Saccharomyces cerevisiae S288C: one gene and its partners. The protein of the gene in region 1 binds, or shares a complex with, the protein of each later gene. Each region holds a gene or a part of one and is shown in the gene's direction. Other genes may lie near its edges.

Region 1 (3,375 bases):
TGATAATGTCTGCTATCCCAGAAAACGCCAACGTTACCGTCTTAAACAAGAACGAAAAGAAAGCCAGAGAATTGATTGGCAAATTGGGTTTGAAGCAAATCCCAGGTATCATCAGAGTCACTTTCAGGAAGAAGGACAACCAAATCTATGCTATTGAAAAGCCAGAAGTCTTCAGATCTGCCGGTGGTAACTACGTTGTCTTCGGTGAAGCTAAGGTTGACAACTTTACCCAAAAGCTAGCCGCTGCTCAACAACAAGCTCAAGCTAGCGGTATTATGCCATCTAACGAAGACGTCGCTACCAAGTCCCCAGAAGACATCCAAGCTGACATGCAAGCCGCCGCAGAAGGCAGTGTCAACGCCGCAGCAGAAGAAGATGACGAAGAAGGTGAAGTTGATGCCGGTGACTTGAATAAGGATGATATCGAGTTAGTCGTTCAACAAACTAACGTTTCCAAAAACCAAGCCATCAAAGCCCTGAAAGCTCACAATGGTGACTTAGTCAACGCTATCATGTCCTTGTCTAAATAATGATATAAAAATATATTATATAGGGGTACGTAGTTATTCTAACGCAAAATCATTTTGTTTTTTCCTTCTCCGACTGCGAAGGCTGTGCCGGTTGTTTTGCTTCAATGGCGTCTTCTCTTTCCTTTACTTCGTCTATTTTGTGGTTACAGTGAGGACAGATAAAGATGATTGGCTTACTGGCCAATCTGTAGCAATTGGATTTCCAATGACACTGTGGACATATGATTTTTTTGAAGGGAGAGAGCGAACTTGTTGAGTCCAATTCATTACCGCCTGCCAGTACGCTGATGATTTTGTCGAACCATGCATCGCTGTCTTCCTTCTTTAGGCCCTTTACATGGCTTTCCTTCTTAAATTTTTCTAGCTCTGTCTTTAGATTGTTTAATTCTTGGTATTTAGCATTTAATTCATCATCTAGAAGTACCATGGCATCGTCGTTTTGATCTTCACCGGAAGAAAACCGTTGGATGATTGAGCTTGTAGCATTATAGTGGGTCTCTTCCTTTAACTTTTCCAGTTTCTTTTGATGAATTGCACGGAGTTTTGCCAACTTGCGTAACCTATTGTTGTTATAAAATGCATAGAGTTTGGTTAATGCCCATTTGAACAAGATTAGCGAGCCTATGCATAGTAGCGCAGTCACCACAAGGTATGGTCGATAACCATGGTACTCCCAATATGTGTAGCTCAGGGCCAATACCGTTAACGCAATACCATAAAAGGTCAGATTTGATTGCCATTGACTCAAGATGGATTGGCTTTTCTTTAACGCGACATCTAATTGATGGATCTGTGAAGTTATTTGTGATAAATCTGCGGTATACTTCGTCACAAAGTCCTTATCATTGCGAGAGCCTCGGACCCATTTACCTAATGCACTAAACATATTTATGTTATTCTTTTATATCCGATCTCCTCTTTGTATGATTTTTGTTTTCTTAAAATATACATGTCAACGTTAGCATCTTGAATTTCATTTTTCCTTTAATCTTTTTTAGTAAGCTAACCACTAATATAGCCAAAGGAGTGATAGAAAAAAGAATTATCACTATCATTCAGCCCAATAAACAGCTGAAAAGAATGCCTAGTGTAGATATAGATGCTAGTCAATGGCAGAAGTTGACACAGTCAAGAGAAAAGCAGACCACGGTGATAACACCGCTTGGGATGATGATGCTGGAGATTCAAGGTGAACTAGAGTTGCCTAAGGACTTTGCGTCGCTGGCGAGGAGAGATTCTCCAAATGAGGGAAGGTTCAGTGAACAGGACGGCGAAACTTTAATACGATTTGGGTCGTTACAGATTGACGGAGAGAGGGCCACATTGTTTGTCGGCAAGAAACAGCGTTTACTGGGGAAGGTGACAAAGCTAGACGTACCGATGGGTATAATGCATTTCAATTCGAAAGATAATAAGGTCGAATTAGTTGATGTAATGAAATATAAGGTTATCTTTAAGGATAGGCCTCTACCTATTATGTAAGTACTTAGTTATTGTTCGGAGTTGTTTGTTTATGTTATTTGGCGCAGACTTCACGCTCTGTGTAAAGTGTATATATAATAAAACCCAAGAAGAACGGACAAGATGATAGATAAAACCATATTGAACTTGTACTCTTCTTCTTGTTGGGTTGGAACCAATTCATCATCGTATCTGGATCTTTCTTTAACTTTCAAGAAAATTGGAGTTTCATTTGGCTTCACGTTAGGAGGTAATTTATCCTGGTACATTTCTTCCATAAACTGTTCGATCTTGGAGATTTGAATGTTCAATTTTAAGAAATTTGGATCTTGCACAGCCAATTTAGATTTGATATCACGTAAGTAATAGTCAAAAATCTCGACACAGCCACGCAAAGTCCTTGATTTCAAAATTAAATAGCAGGTAGTACCCTTACGAATCTTTACATTGCCATGTAGCACTTCACGGTTGTTGAATACCAAAGCCAAGGTTGCAATGGCCATAACTTGGGGAATGGCACAAAATTGGAAAGTGGATTGCTCGTGGATACCGGCCAAATAAGTCAACACATCGATAACATGACTCAATGCGTTTAAGACGAGGTGGTTTATACAGTCCAACCCCAGTTGTTCGTTTTCAGGTTTCATGAAGTCCTTCAACTGAGGAGCGTATTGTGACCAGATTTCCTTGGGCCAGAAGGATCTACCATCGACCAAATCTTCATTGTAATCTCTGATGATGTTGGTTTTTTGTAGGAAAAGACCCATGCTTTCATACAATTGCTCATTAGAATACAAAGATTCGTTGGCAAACTTGGCAATGACAATCAAACGGGTCAAACCATCACCGACCAAACCAGCTACGTAGTGACAGTACACGTCGTAGTCGTGGACGGTTTGCAACCCATTCAAGTTGTAATTTTCATCTAAGATGTAGTCGGCCATACCATTACCCATTTTCTCGGTGATCTCCTTGATGACTTCTTGATATTCTGGTTTCAATTTGTGGAATTCAATAAGAATCGATTCGAAATCTGTCAAAACGGCTCTGTCCTTCACATCGGGGGCATTTCCGTCGAAACTCCATTTAGTTAACAACAATTTCTCGTGGAAGTGACGCAACAAGTCAATTTTCAAATCGTGTTCGATGGACATATCGTCTTCGATGGTATCCAAAGCCCTTAAAATCAAATAAAAGAGAGTAACACAGTTTCTCAATTCTGGATGCAGCTCTCTGATCACAGCAGCAAACGATCTGGAGGTCAAGTTCAACAGTTCGAAACAGTGCAAGAGATATGGAGACGTGGACTGATCATAGATGGAGAATAGCGGTGTTCTGCAAAACTTCAGCTTCAAAGCTGCCTTCATCTCGACCGGATGCAATG
Region 2 (7,539 bases), on another chromosome or scaffold:
CAATGATGTAAATTAAATCTATCTAAAAAGCGTGATTTTTCCCACGAATTTTAATCCCTCTATTGTTCTCTTTCCACTCCATATTGAGTGAAAGGAAAAATAAGAAAAGTAAATAGAAAATTTATGACGTAGGAATAAAAGTATATAAGTATTTAACAAATTGACCGTAGATAATAATAATGCGCATGAAATTAAATCCTCTCTTTGATCTCTTCAATCAAGATCAACCCATTAACCACATTAGAACATTTTGCCAAATGAAGCCATAGACGAATAGGAAGTAATTGCACTTCTTGACGGTCGATTTGCTGATGGAAACGTGTATATCATCGTCTTCAGCACCGGAGCGGCTTAGTAAATTGAACTTGACGGATCTTAGTAGGAATACGCCAAAGGCAATAAATAAGTAAAATTTTATCAAAATATTCAGGTTAAATGGCATGGTCACGTTGGTCAAAAGCTGGGCGAGAATCAATGGAACAAATTTGTAGCCGACATAGCACAACAGTTCGACCAAACTGAAGCTTGGAATCTTAGAATCGATCAAAAGATACAAGCCAAGCTTCAAAATCAACAAATCTAAACACACAAACGCCAGAGTAGAAGACAGTTTGTAGTACAAGTCTTCGGGGTTGAATGAACCCTTCAGACCTTGCTGCGTATTCCAGATGAGAATATAGGTAACTAGTCCCATAATAGGCATGTACATGTCTGGGGAGTTCACGTCATCCCTTGGTGGCAAAAAGTTGCCAGAGTCCATAATTCGTTGCCAGTTCTTGGTTCCGTTAAGAAAAGGAACTAGGATGAGTTTCAATTTATTGATGACATAACGGGTGCTGACTTGAAAATACGTTGAAATTTGTTGAGAGCCGGCAGCGTTTGCAGTGGCTTTATTGACCGTTTCTTGAAACTGGTTAAAGTTATCCTGACCAATAAAATTAGAAAATGCGCTCTGCCCTAGTTGGAATGCCATCGAACCACGAGGATCTTGGAATGGAAAACCACCGCCACTGCCATTTACGTTTGCATTCATATTCGCATTACCTTGGCCATTCACGGGCGTGTTCCTCGGAATTTGCATTGGTCGTTGCTGTTGTGGAGTGTGGGAAAAGCGATCGTTAACGCCATTCTGCTCACTTGTTGCATATGCGTACGGATTATAAGACATCTTGGTATGGGCCTTTGGTTTTCGTTTTCTGCTATTGATACTCAGTAGCGAGGTCTTACAATCGAAAAGTCAAAAAGATGAGTTGTAGTATAAAACAACAGCTCTGGTGTGCAATATGGATCTTGATACAGAGTCTCGGATATGCTGTTTTAGCACTGAGAAAAAGTAATAGTAACACTGTCAGTGTTCGTCAAAGGCCCAAGTTTATTGTCATTTGAATTGTCAGAATGGTTTATTTTCAGGTAGGGTAACCAGAACGCGTAAGTTTCTTGCATCTTTTACCATTTTAACTGGAAGAGGACCTATCAAAAAGAGCATATGATGATGAAAGAGCACATTCTATCAAGATAACACTCTCAGGGGACAAGTATATGATGTTTGGCAAGAAAAAAAACAACGGAGGATCTTCCACTGCAAGATATTCAGCTGGCAACAAGTACAACACACTCTCAAATAATTATGCGCTTAGCGCGCAACAGCTCTTAAATGCTAGTAAGATCGATGACATCGATTCGATGATGGGATTTGAAAGATACGTACCGCCGCAATACAATGGCAGGTTTGATGCGAAGGATATAGATCAGATTCCAGGCCGCGTAGGGTGGCTGACGAACATGCACGCAACGCTGGTCTCTCAGGAAACCTTATCCAGTGGTAGTAATGGCGGCGGCAATTCGAATGACGGAGAACGTGTAACGACCAACCAAGGTATTTCCGGAGTTGACTTCTACTTTTTAGATGAAGAGGGTGGGAGCTTCAAGTCGACAGTTGTCTATGACCCATACTTCTTTATTGCGTGTAACGATGAATCAAGAGTAAATGATGTGGAGGAACTAGTGAAAAAATATCTGGAATCTTGTCTCAAAAGCTTACAAATCATTAGAAAGGAAGATCTTACCATGGACAATCACCTTTTAGGGCTGCAGAAGACACTTATTAAGTTATCATTTGTAAATTCCAATCAGTTATTCGAGGCCAGGAAACTCCTGAGGCCAATCTTGCAGGATAATGCCAATAATAATGTGCAAAGAAATATATATAACGTTGCTGCAAATGGCTCGGAAAAAGTTGACGCCAAACATCTGATCGAAGATATCAGGGAATATGATGTGCCGTATCATGTCCGAGTATCTATAGACAAGGACATTAGAGTCGGTAAATGGTATAAGGTAACTCAACAGGGATTCATTGAAGATACTAGGAAAATTGCATTTGCCGACCCTGTGGTAATGGCATTTGATATAGAAACCACGAAGCCGCCTTTAAAATTCCCGGATTCCGCCGTAGATCAAATAATGATGATTTCGTATATGATCGATGGGGAAGGTTTTTTGATAACAAATAGGGAGATAATCTCTGAGGATATTGAAGACTTTGAGTATACACCGAAACCGGAGTATCCTGGTTTTTTCACCATATTTAACGAAAACGATGAAGTGGCGCTTCTACAAAGGTTTTTTGAACATATAAGAGATGTACGACCCACTGTTATATCCACCTTCAATGGTGACTTTTTCGATTGGCCTTTTATACATAACAGAAGTAAGATTCACGGCTTGGACATGTTCGATGAAATTGGTTTCGCTCCAGATGCTGAAGGTGAGTACAAGTCCTCATACTGCTCTCACATGGATTGTTTCCGTTGGGTGAAGCGTGATTCTTATTTACCACAAGGTTCCCAGGGTTTAAAAGCTGTTACTCAATCTAAGCTAGGTTATAACCCAATTGAACTGGATCCCGAATTAATGACGCCGTATGCATTTGAAAAGCCACAGCACCTTTCCGAATATTCTGTTTCCGATGCAGTCGCTACGTATTACCTTTACATGAAATATGTTCATCCTTTTATCTTTTCCCTTTGTACTATTATTCCTTTGAACCCGGATGAAACATTGAGAAAGGGTACCGGTACTTTGTGTGAAATGTTGTTGATGGTTCAAGCTTATCAACATAATATTCTTCTACCAAATAAGCATACAGATCCCATTGAGAGGTTCTATGATGGACATCTTCTAGAATCCGAGACTTACGTGGGTGGACATGTGGAGTCATTAGAAGCTGGTGTTTTTAGGAGTGATTTGAAGAATGAATTCAAGATAGATCCTTCTGCCATTGATGAATTATTACAAGAATTACCAGAAGCTTTGAAATTTAGTGTGGAAGTTGAAAATAAGTCCAGTGTAGATAAAGTAACGAATTTTGAGGAAATAAAAAACCAGATAACGCAGAAATTATTAGAGTTGAAGGAAAACAATATAAGAAACGAACTACCTTTGATCTATCATGTAGATGTCGCCTCTATGTACCCAAACATCATGACTACAAATAGACTACAACCAGATAGTATCAAAGCAGAGCGCGATTGTGCTAGTTGCGATTTTAATAGACCCGGAAAAACCTGTGCAAGAAAGTTAAAATGGGCTTGGAGAGGAGAATTCTTTCCCAGTAAGATGGATGAGTATAACATGATCAAGCGTGCATTACAAAATGAGACTTTTCCCAACAAAAACAAGTTTTCTAAAAAGAAAGTTTTGACATTTGATGAACTAAGTTACGCAGACCAAGTTATCCACATAAAAAAACGTTTAACTGAATATTCAAGGAAAGTTTATCATAGGGTTAAAGTATCAGAAATTGTCGAACGAGAAGCCATTGTCTGCCAAAGAGAAAATCCATTCTACGTCGATACCGTGAAATCCTTTCGTGATAGGCGTTACGAATTCAAAGGTTTAGCCAAGACTTGGAAGGGAAATCTGTCCAAAATTGACCCATCTGATAAGCATGCGAGAGACGAGGCCAAAAAGATGATTGTGCTTTATGACTCATTACAATTAGCTCACAAAGTTATTTTGAATTCGTTTTATGGGTATGTTATGAGGAAAGGCTCTCGTTGGTATTCCATGGAAATGGCGGGGATTACGTGTTTAACAGGTGCCACGATCATTCAAATGGCGAGAGCTTTAGTAGAAAGGGTAGGAAGACCATTAGAATTAGATACTGATGGTATTTGGTGTATCTTACCAAAATCTTTCCCTGAAACTTACTTTTTTACATTAGAAAATGGTAAAAAGCTTTATCTCTCCTACCCATGTTCCATGCTGAATTACAGAGTTCACCAAAAGTTTACGAATCACCAATACCAAGAATTAAAAGACCCATTGAACTATATATATGAGACGCACAGTGAAAACACGATTTTTTTCGAAGTTGACGGACCATATAAGGCCATGATTTTGCCTAGTTCCAAGGAAGAAGGAAAAGGTATAAAGAAAAGATATGCTGTCTTCAATGAAGACGGCTCACTTGCTGAACTGAAAGGTTTTGAATTGAAGAGGCGTGGTGAATTACAACTAATAAAAAATTTTCAAAGTGATATTTTCAAGGTCTTTTTGGAAGGTGATACATTAGAAGGATGTTACAGTGCTGTAGCAAGCGTATGTAACCGTTGGTTAGATGTTCTTGATTCACATGGTCTTATGTTAGAAGATGAAGACTTGGTCAGTTTGATTTGTGAAAATAGAAGTATGTCAAAAACTTTAAAGGAATATGAAGGGCAAAAATCTACTTCTATTACGACGGCAAGGAGATTGGGGGATTTTTTGGGTGAAGATATGGTAAAAGATAAAGGTCTACAATGTAAATATATTATTAGTTCAAAACCTTTCAATGCACCTGTTACTGAACGAGCCATTCCAGTCGCAATATTTTCAGCGGACATTCCCATCAAAAGGTCTTTTCTGAGGCGATGGACATTAGATCCATCTTTGGAAGATCTGGATATCAGAACCATAATCGATTGGGGTTATTATAGAGAAAGACTTGGATCTGCTATACAAAAGATAATTACTATTCCAGCAGCATTACAAGGGGTTTCCAATCCTGTTCCAAGGGTTGAACATCCAGATTGGCTAAAAAGAAAAATCGCTACAAAGGAGGATAAGTTTAAGCAGACTTCACTAACCAAATTTTTTTCGAAGACAAAGAATGTACCAACAATGGGCAAGATAAAAGATATCGAGGATTTGTTTGAACCAACTGTAGAAGAAGATAACGCCAAAATTAAAATTGCAAGAACTACTAAAAAGAAAGCCGTATCCAAGAGGAAAAGAAATCAGCTTACAAATGAAGAAGATCCACTAGTATTGCCCTCGGAGATTCCTTCCATGGACGAGGACTATGTTGGGTGGCTAAATTATCAAAAAATTAAATGGAAAATCCAAGCAAGAGATAGAAAGCGTCGAGACCAATTATTTGGTAATACAAACAGCTCCCGTGAAAGAAGTGCACTAGGAAGTATGATTAGGAAGCAAGCTGAATCATATGCGAACTCCACTTGGGAGGTCTTACAATACAAGGATTCCGGTGAGCCAGGGGTTTTGGAAGTATTTGTAACAATTAATGGCAAAGTCCAGAACATCACCTTCCATATACCAAAAACTATTTATATGAAATTCAAATCTCAAACAATGCCGCTACAAAAGATTAAGAATTGCCTTATTGAAAAATCTTCTGCATCGTTACCAAATAATCCCAAAACGTCTAATCCAGCAGGCGGTCAGCTATTCAAAATTACTCTACCGGAATCTGTCTTTCTGGAAGAAAAGGAAAACTGCACTAGTATCTTCAACGATGAAAATGTACTTGGTGTATTTGAGGGCACTATCACTCCTCATCAAAGAGCGATCATGGATTTGGGAGCTTCGGTAACGTTCCGCTCAAAAGCAATGGGTGCGTTAGGCAAGGGAATACAGCAGGGTTTTGAAATGAAGGATCTTTCAATGGCGGAAAATGAAAGGTATCTGAGTGGATTTTCAATGGACATTGGCTATTTACTACATTTCCCAACATCAATTGGGTATGAATTTTTTTCATTATTCAAGTCATGGGGAGATACTATTACTATATTAGTTTTGAAACCATCCAACCAGGCTCAGGAAATAAATGCCTCATCATTAGGACAAATATACAAACAAATGTTTGAAAAAAAGAAAGGTAAAATAGAAACATATTCTTACTTGGTTGATATTAAAGAAGATATCAATTTTGAGTTTGTATATTTTACAGATATCTCAAAATTGTACAGAAGACTATCACAGGAAACTACTAAATTAAAAGAAGAAAGAGGTCTGCAGTTTTTACTCTTGTTACAATCTCCGTTTATCACTAAGCTCTTAGGCACAATCCGGCTTCTAAACCAGATGCCCATTGTTAAGCTTTCCTTGAATGAAGTTCTTCTACCCCAATTGAACTGGCAACCGACATTATTGAAGAAACTTGTTAACCACGTTTTATCCAGTGGTTCGTGGATTTCTCACTTGATCAAGTTATCCCAGTATAGTAACATTCCAATCTGTAATTTGAGGCTGGATAGTATGGATTATATTATTGATGTTCTTTATGCAAGAAAACTAAAAAAAGAGAACATCGTGCTTTGGTGGAATGAGAAAGCTCCACTTCCAGATCATGGAGGCATTCAAAATGATTTTGATTTAAATACATCATGGATAATGAATGATTCAGAATTTCCCAAAATTAATAACTCAGGTGTGTATGACAATGTAGTTCTCGATGTTGGTGTTGATAATTTAACAGTGAACACAATTTTGACATCAGCATTAATCAATGATGCTGAAGGCAGTGATCTAGTTAACAATAATATGGGTATAGATGACAAAGATGCCGTTATTAACTCGCCATCTGAATTCGTGCACGACGCCTTTTCTAATGACGCTTTGAATGTTTTAAGAGGTATGTTAAAGGAGTGGTGGGATGAGGCCCTAAAAGAAAATTCAACCGCAGATTTGTTGGTAAATTCCCTGGCAAGTTGGGTTCAAAACCCGAATGCGAAACTATTCGACGGATTACTAAGATATCACGTTCATAACTTAACAAAAAAAGCCTTACTTCAATTAGTAAATGAATTTAGTGCACTTGGCTCAACTATTGTATATGCAGACAGGAATCAAATTCTAATAAAGACAAACAAGTACTCACCTGAAAACTGTTACGCCTACAGCCAATATATGATGAAGGCAGTTAGAACAAATCCAATGTTTAGTTATCTGGACTTAAATATCAAACGTTATTGGGATCTGCTAATATGGATGGATAAGTTTAATTTTAGTGGATTAGCATGTATTGAAATAGAGGAAAAGGAAAATCAGGATTATACCGCTGTTTCGCAATGGCAACTAAAGAAGTTTCTGTCACCAATATATCAGCCCGAATTTGAGGATTGGATGATGATCATATTGGATAGTATGCTAAAGACAAAGCAGAGCTATCTAAAATTGAATTCAGGGACGCAAAGACCTACCCAAATAGTTAATGTAAAAAAACAAGATAAGGAAGATAGTGTTGAAAACTCGTTG
Region 3 (4,384 bases), on another chromosome or scaffold:
TATGTTCTTTTTATTGTTTAATACGTGCATATGTATTCTATAAGATAAATGTATATAACTGCCAACAAAATAAACTAAAATCAAGGTATGGCTGTAGAAAATGATACCACAGATAATAAAATAATAAATAATCTAATAGCTGAGTGGAAGAAAAAAAAAAAATAAAAAAAGAGTAGTACAAACTAAGGAGATAAAAGTGTGAACTATGCCTATTCAAAAAAGTAGAATAGAGTAAATAAGCATACTTGTACTTATCTCAGTTGTAAAATATCGTTACTTAGAACTCCTCTTTTCTCTCTCGAAAAAAAAATGTCTTTAAAAATAATATCATTTCATCGAAAAGGCTTCCGGAGCTTCACCTTCCGGTCCAATATACTTTGGATCCCTCCATGGACCGATATCGGATAGGTATAACCCACCCTTGGATTCATCAACTTCAGACTTACCGCCAAATTTGACTGGTAAGTTTTCAGCTGGAATTTGCTTTAATAATTCCTTCTGGTAAGAAGAACCCAAGATAAAAATCTTTGAAACAGTGACTGGATCCAAGAAAGGTTTAAATAGCCTAAATGCGGTAGAGAAACCGAATGGCGCGTTGATGATGTAAAATTTACCCATACGTTCGGGGTAATAGTTTTGACTTATGTAGGAGGCTTCCCTAACATATGACATAACACTGTATGCACTAGATATGGAGATACCTTTCAAATCCATAATTGTACATGAAGTTTCCACTAGGTGACCAGCAGCTCTTGAACAGGCAGGTAATCTGTATTGAACGACAGATTCGTATTCCCAAACCAAGTTTTTCAACATCCTCTCTTCAGAGGTAACCTTGTTCATTTCATGTAAGTTAACAGCACCTAATTCTTCAAAATATACTGGGCGGCCATCTTTATCGGTTTTATGATAATATTGTGGGTAGAATTTGGCAATCAATGGTTTTTCATCATAATGAAAATCTTGCAAGATAGTGTCGGTACCATAATCCTTCCTCCATTTTTCGCAGTTTTCAAACATTTCTTTAGCCAATTGAACATCAAATTTTCTGGCTCTCAAAAAACGTAGTAAAGTTGAATCGTCTAAACGTTCAATGAAACCAGCGTCTTCCAAAAGTTTTCTTAGTTCTGCCAATGCCTTCTCTTGAGCGCTGTCTAAATTTCCTGGAGTACCAGGCAAGGCATCTGGAGGACAGTTTTGAGGGTAGGATTCTAAAAATTCCTTTTCTTGTTGCTATTTAAAGTGAAGTCATAGTAATACCACTTGTGTTTGTTAGTAAACTTATTGATATATCATTTTTGCTTCATATAGACAGAACTATCTGAAGAATGTGAATATTGTCACAATGAATGTCAAAAAAAGAAAAAGTAAATAAAAGCAACAACATACTGTAACCATTGTGTTTTAGGGCGATGAAGGTTTGGTTTGATGCTACAGGCGCTGGTCAAGCGATATACCAGGAAAGGACACTTAAGACACAAACAAAGGAAGATGTACCATTTTATTGTTGATCAACGTTGAAAAAAAAAATGTGGAAAAAACGAACTAGCCAGTCGCGTTGTACGGAACATCTAACACGTAAATAAACATGATTTCATATATTTTATTCCTAATGTGTACACTATTTGACCCAAAAGGTGGATGTAAGGTCAGGGATCATGGTTGATACCGCACCATACATTGGTTCACTAGGGAGAAGTTCCCTTTTTGATACTGGTGATATAGAACAAGCCCCTGGTAATAATGCAATTGGTATTAATGAGGAAGATATTCACGCGTTTGTATCAAGTACTGGCGAAACGGTTCAATTAAAGAAGAAGCCTGCGAAGTTAGCAACCGGGAATATTAGTCTATACACTAACCCAGATACTGTTTGGAGATCAGACGACACGTACGGCATCAATATAAACTATTTGTTAGACAAAATTGAGGCATCTGGCGATGACCGCACTAACGCACAAAAGACTTCACCTATAACTGGCAAGATAGGTAGCGACACACTCTGGGTAGAGAAATGGCGTCCTAAAAAATTTCTAGATTTGGTTGGTAATGAAAAGACAAACAGGAGAATGTTAGGTTGGTTGAGACAATGGACGCCGGCTGTGTTTAAAGAGCAATTACCCAAATTGCCAACCGAAAAAGAGGTCAGTGATATGGAACTCGATCCATTGAAAAGGCCACCAAAGAAAATTTTACTACTGCACGGGCCACCAGGAATAGGCAAAACCTCAGTAGCTCACGTTATTGCCAAACAATCAGGGTTTTCTGTCTCAGAAATCAATGCAAGTGATGAAAGGGCTGGACCTATGGTAAAAGAGAAAATATATAATCTTTTATTCAATCATACTTTCGATACAAATCCTGTGTGCTTAGTGGCGGATGAGATTGATGGAAGTATTGAGAGTGGATTTATTAGAATTTTAGTTGACATTATGCAAAGCGATATTAAAGCCACTAATAAACTATTATACGGTCAACCAGATAAAAAGGACAAAAAGCGCAAAAAGAAAAGGTCTAAATTGCTTACGCGACCTATTATTTGTATTTGCAATAATCTATATGCTCCTTCTTTGGAAAAGCTGAAACCATTCTGTGAAATTATTGCTGTGAAAAGACCTTCCGATACTACCCTACTAGAGCGATTGAACCTTATCTGCCATAAAGAAAACATGAATATTCCTATAAAAGCAATCAATGACTTAATTGATTTGGCTCAAGGTGACGTAAGGAATTGTATAAACAATTTACAATTCTTGGCCTCGAATGTTGATTCAAGAGATTCCTCTGCATCAGATAAACCTGCTTGTGCAAAAAATACGTGGGCGTCATCCAACAAGGACTCCCCCATATCATGGTTTAAAATCGTGAACCAATTGTTTAGAAAGGATCCACATCGTGATATAAAGGAGCAGTTTTATGAATTGCTAAACCAAGTAGAGCTTAATGGTAACTCTGACAGGATATTGCAAGGCTGTTTTAATATATTTCCCTACGTAAAATATTCCGACAATGGTATAAGAAAGCCAGCAAACATTTCAGATTGGCTATTTTTCCATGATTTAATGTACCAATCAATGTATGCGCATAATGGCGAATTGTTACGTTACTCCGCCCTTGTGCCCCTAGTCTTCTTCCAAACGTTTGGCGATATCGCAAACAAAGATGATATTAGAATGAAGAATAGTGAATACGAACAACGTGAATTAAAACGAGCCAATTCAGATATAGTTAGTCTGATTATGAGACATATCTCGGTTCAGTCCCCACTAATGGCAAGTTTTACGGATAGAAAATCGTTAATCTTTGAAATACTACCATATCTAGATTCGATGATCTCTTCCGATTTTAATAAAATAAGGAACCTGAAACTCAAACAAGCCATCATGGAGGAATTAGTTCAATTGCTGAAAAGCTTTCAACTGAATCTAATCCAAAATCGGTCAGAAGGATTTGATGTAAGGGGTGGCCTAACAATCGATCCCCCAATCGATGAAGTCGTATTGTTAAATCCTAAACATATTAACGAAGTCCAACATAAACGGGCTAATAATTTGAGTTCACTGTTAGCAAAGATTGAGGAAAACCGGGCCAAGAAAAGGCATATAGACCAAGTGACTGAGGATAGACTACAGTCACAGGAAATGCATAGCAAAAAAGTCAAAACTGGGTTAAATTCTTCCTCAAGTACAATCGACTTTTTCAAGAATCAGTACGGATTATTGAAGCAAACTCAGGAATTGGAAGAGACACAAAAAACTATTGGATCAGACGAAACCAACCAAGCAGATGACTGCAATCAAACGGTTAAAATATGGGTGAAATACAATGAGGGGTTCTCTAACGCTGTCAGGAAAAATGTGACTTGGAATAACCTGTGGGAATAAATGACGTAAGATATATACGCAGTCTCTCTTAAGAAGCATACTTGTATATGGACCAGCAGCTTACATAGAAATCTAAAAGAAGTAAATAAAGAACATTAGCAATCAATCCTGCCGGTAGTCGCAACAGCTCCGATTTTGTCACGCAGCGTTCGTTTTTTATTCGTGATCTTTTACCCTCTTCGCTATCGTTCTTATTTCTACATAAATGGAACCCCGAAGAGCAGAAAGACCGAAAATCGAATTACTATCTGTGGGATACAATATAGCGCATAGAAAAGAACAAAACATAGATAGTTTGGAAAAATAGTACAGACTGCTGAATTAACTCCACTTGGTGCTTTTGTATATATCGAATGGGCCAAAAAAGTAGTAAAGTGCATATAACCAAAACAGATAGGGCGATCCTAGAAGTAAAACGATCTAAAGATGAAATTCATAAGTTTACGAGGAGGACAGATAATTTGATTTTGGTAGAGAAGAGTCAACTAAAAGACCTAATA

The links. The genes of interacting proteins can lie anywhere in the genome.
Region 2: the proteins of CTF8 (region 1) and POL2 are in contact, whole or in part, in a cryo-EM structure (PDB 6S2F), measured with the Saccharomyces cerevisiae proteins. Residues at the interface, in NP_012061.3 of Saccharomyces cerevisiae: Glu40 (codon at 1,728), Lys87 (codon at 1,869), Gln88 (codon at 1,872), Arg128 (codon at 1,992), Leu130 (codon at 1,998), Pro131 (codon at 2,001), Met133 (codon at 2,007); in NP_014137.1 of Saccharomyces cerevisiae: Arg1025 (codon at 4,612), Met1036 (codon at 4,645), Leu1037 (codon at 4,648), Glu1038 (codon at 4,651), Glu1040 (codon at 4,657), Asp1041 (codon at 4,660).
Region 3: the proteins of CTF8 (region 1) and CTF18 are in contact, whole or in part, in a crystal structure (PDB 5OKC), measured with the Saccharomyces cerevisiae proteins. Residues at the interface, in NP_012061.3 of Saccharomyces cerevisiae: Pro2 (codon at 1,614), Ser3 (codon at 1,617), Val4 (codon at 1,620), Ile35 (codon at 1,713), Gln36 (codon at 1,716), Gly37 (codon at 1,719), Glu38 (codon at 1,722), Leu39 (codon at 1,725), Glu40 (codon at 1,728), Leu41 (codon at 1,731), Pro42 (codon at 1,734), Leu48 (codon at 1,752), Arg51 (codon at 1,761), Arg58 (codon at 1,782), Phe59 (codon at 1,785), Ile68 (codon at 1,812), Arg69 (codon at 1,815), Phe70 (codon at 1,818), Val84 (codon at 1,860), Gly85 (codon at 1,863), Lys86 (codon at 1,866), Gln88 (codon at 1,872), Leu90 (codon at 1,878), Phe106 (codon at 1,926), Asn107 (codon at 1,929), Ser108 (codon at 1,932), Asn111 (codon at 1,941), Lys112 (codon at 1,944), Val113 (codon at 1,947), Lys126 (codon at 1,986); in NP_013795.1 of Saccharomyces cerevisiae: Thr715 (codon at 3,801), Val716 (codon at 3,804), Lys717 (codon at 3,807), Ile718 (codon at 3,810), Trp719 (codon at 3,813), Val720 (codon at 3,816), Lys721 (codon at 3,819), Tyr722 (codon at 3,822), Asn723 (codon at 3,825), Glu724 (codon at 3,828), Gly725 (codon at 3,831), Phe726 (codon at 3,834), Trp736 (codon at 3,864), Leu739 (codon at 3,873), Trp740 (codon at 3,876), Glu741 (codon at 3,879).

What each region holds. Positions count from the first base shown.
Region 1 is NC_001140.6:484,867-488,241, reverse strand, and holds CTF8 (Ctf8p), read left to right. Parts: upstream 1-1,610; coding exon 1,611-2,012; downstream 2,013-3,375. Other genes in the region: EGD2 (Egd2p), read left to right, coding at 6-530; LNP1 (Lnp1p), read right to left, coding at 580-1,416; ERG9 (bifunctional farnesyl-diphosphate farnesyltransferase/squalene synthase), read right to left, coding at 2,063-3,375. UniProt on the Saccharomyces cerevisiae protein: Essential for the fidelity of chromosome transmission. Required for the DNA replication block checkpoint.
Region 2 is NC_001146.8:146,673-154,211, forward strand, and holds the start of POL2 (DNA polymerase epsilon catalytic subunit), read left to right. Parts: upstream 1-1,539; coding exon 1,540-7,539. Other genes in the region: protein transporter YIF1, read right to left, coding at 224-1,168. UniProt on the Saccharomyces cerevisiae protein: Catalytic component of the DNA polymerase epsilon complex which participates in chromosomal DNA replication.
Region 3 is NC_001145.3:422,003-426,386, reverse strand, and holds CTF18 (Ctf18p), read left to right. Parts: upstream 1-1,658; coding exon 1,659-3,884; downstream 3,885-4,384. Other genes in the region: phosphatidylinositol/phosphatidylcholine transfer protein SEC14, read right to left, coding at 328-1,233, 1,390-1,398; ESCRT-III subunit protein VPS20, read left to right, coding at 4,238-4,384. UniProt on the Saccharomyces cerevisiae protein: Essential for the fidelity of chromosome transmission. Required for the DNA replication block checkpoint.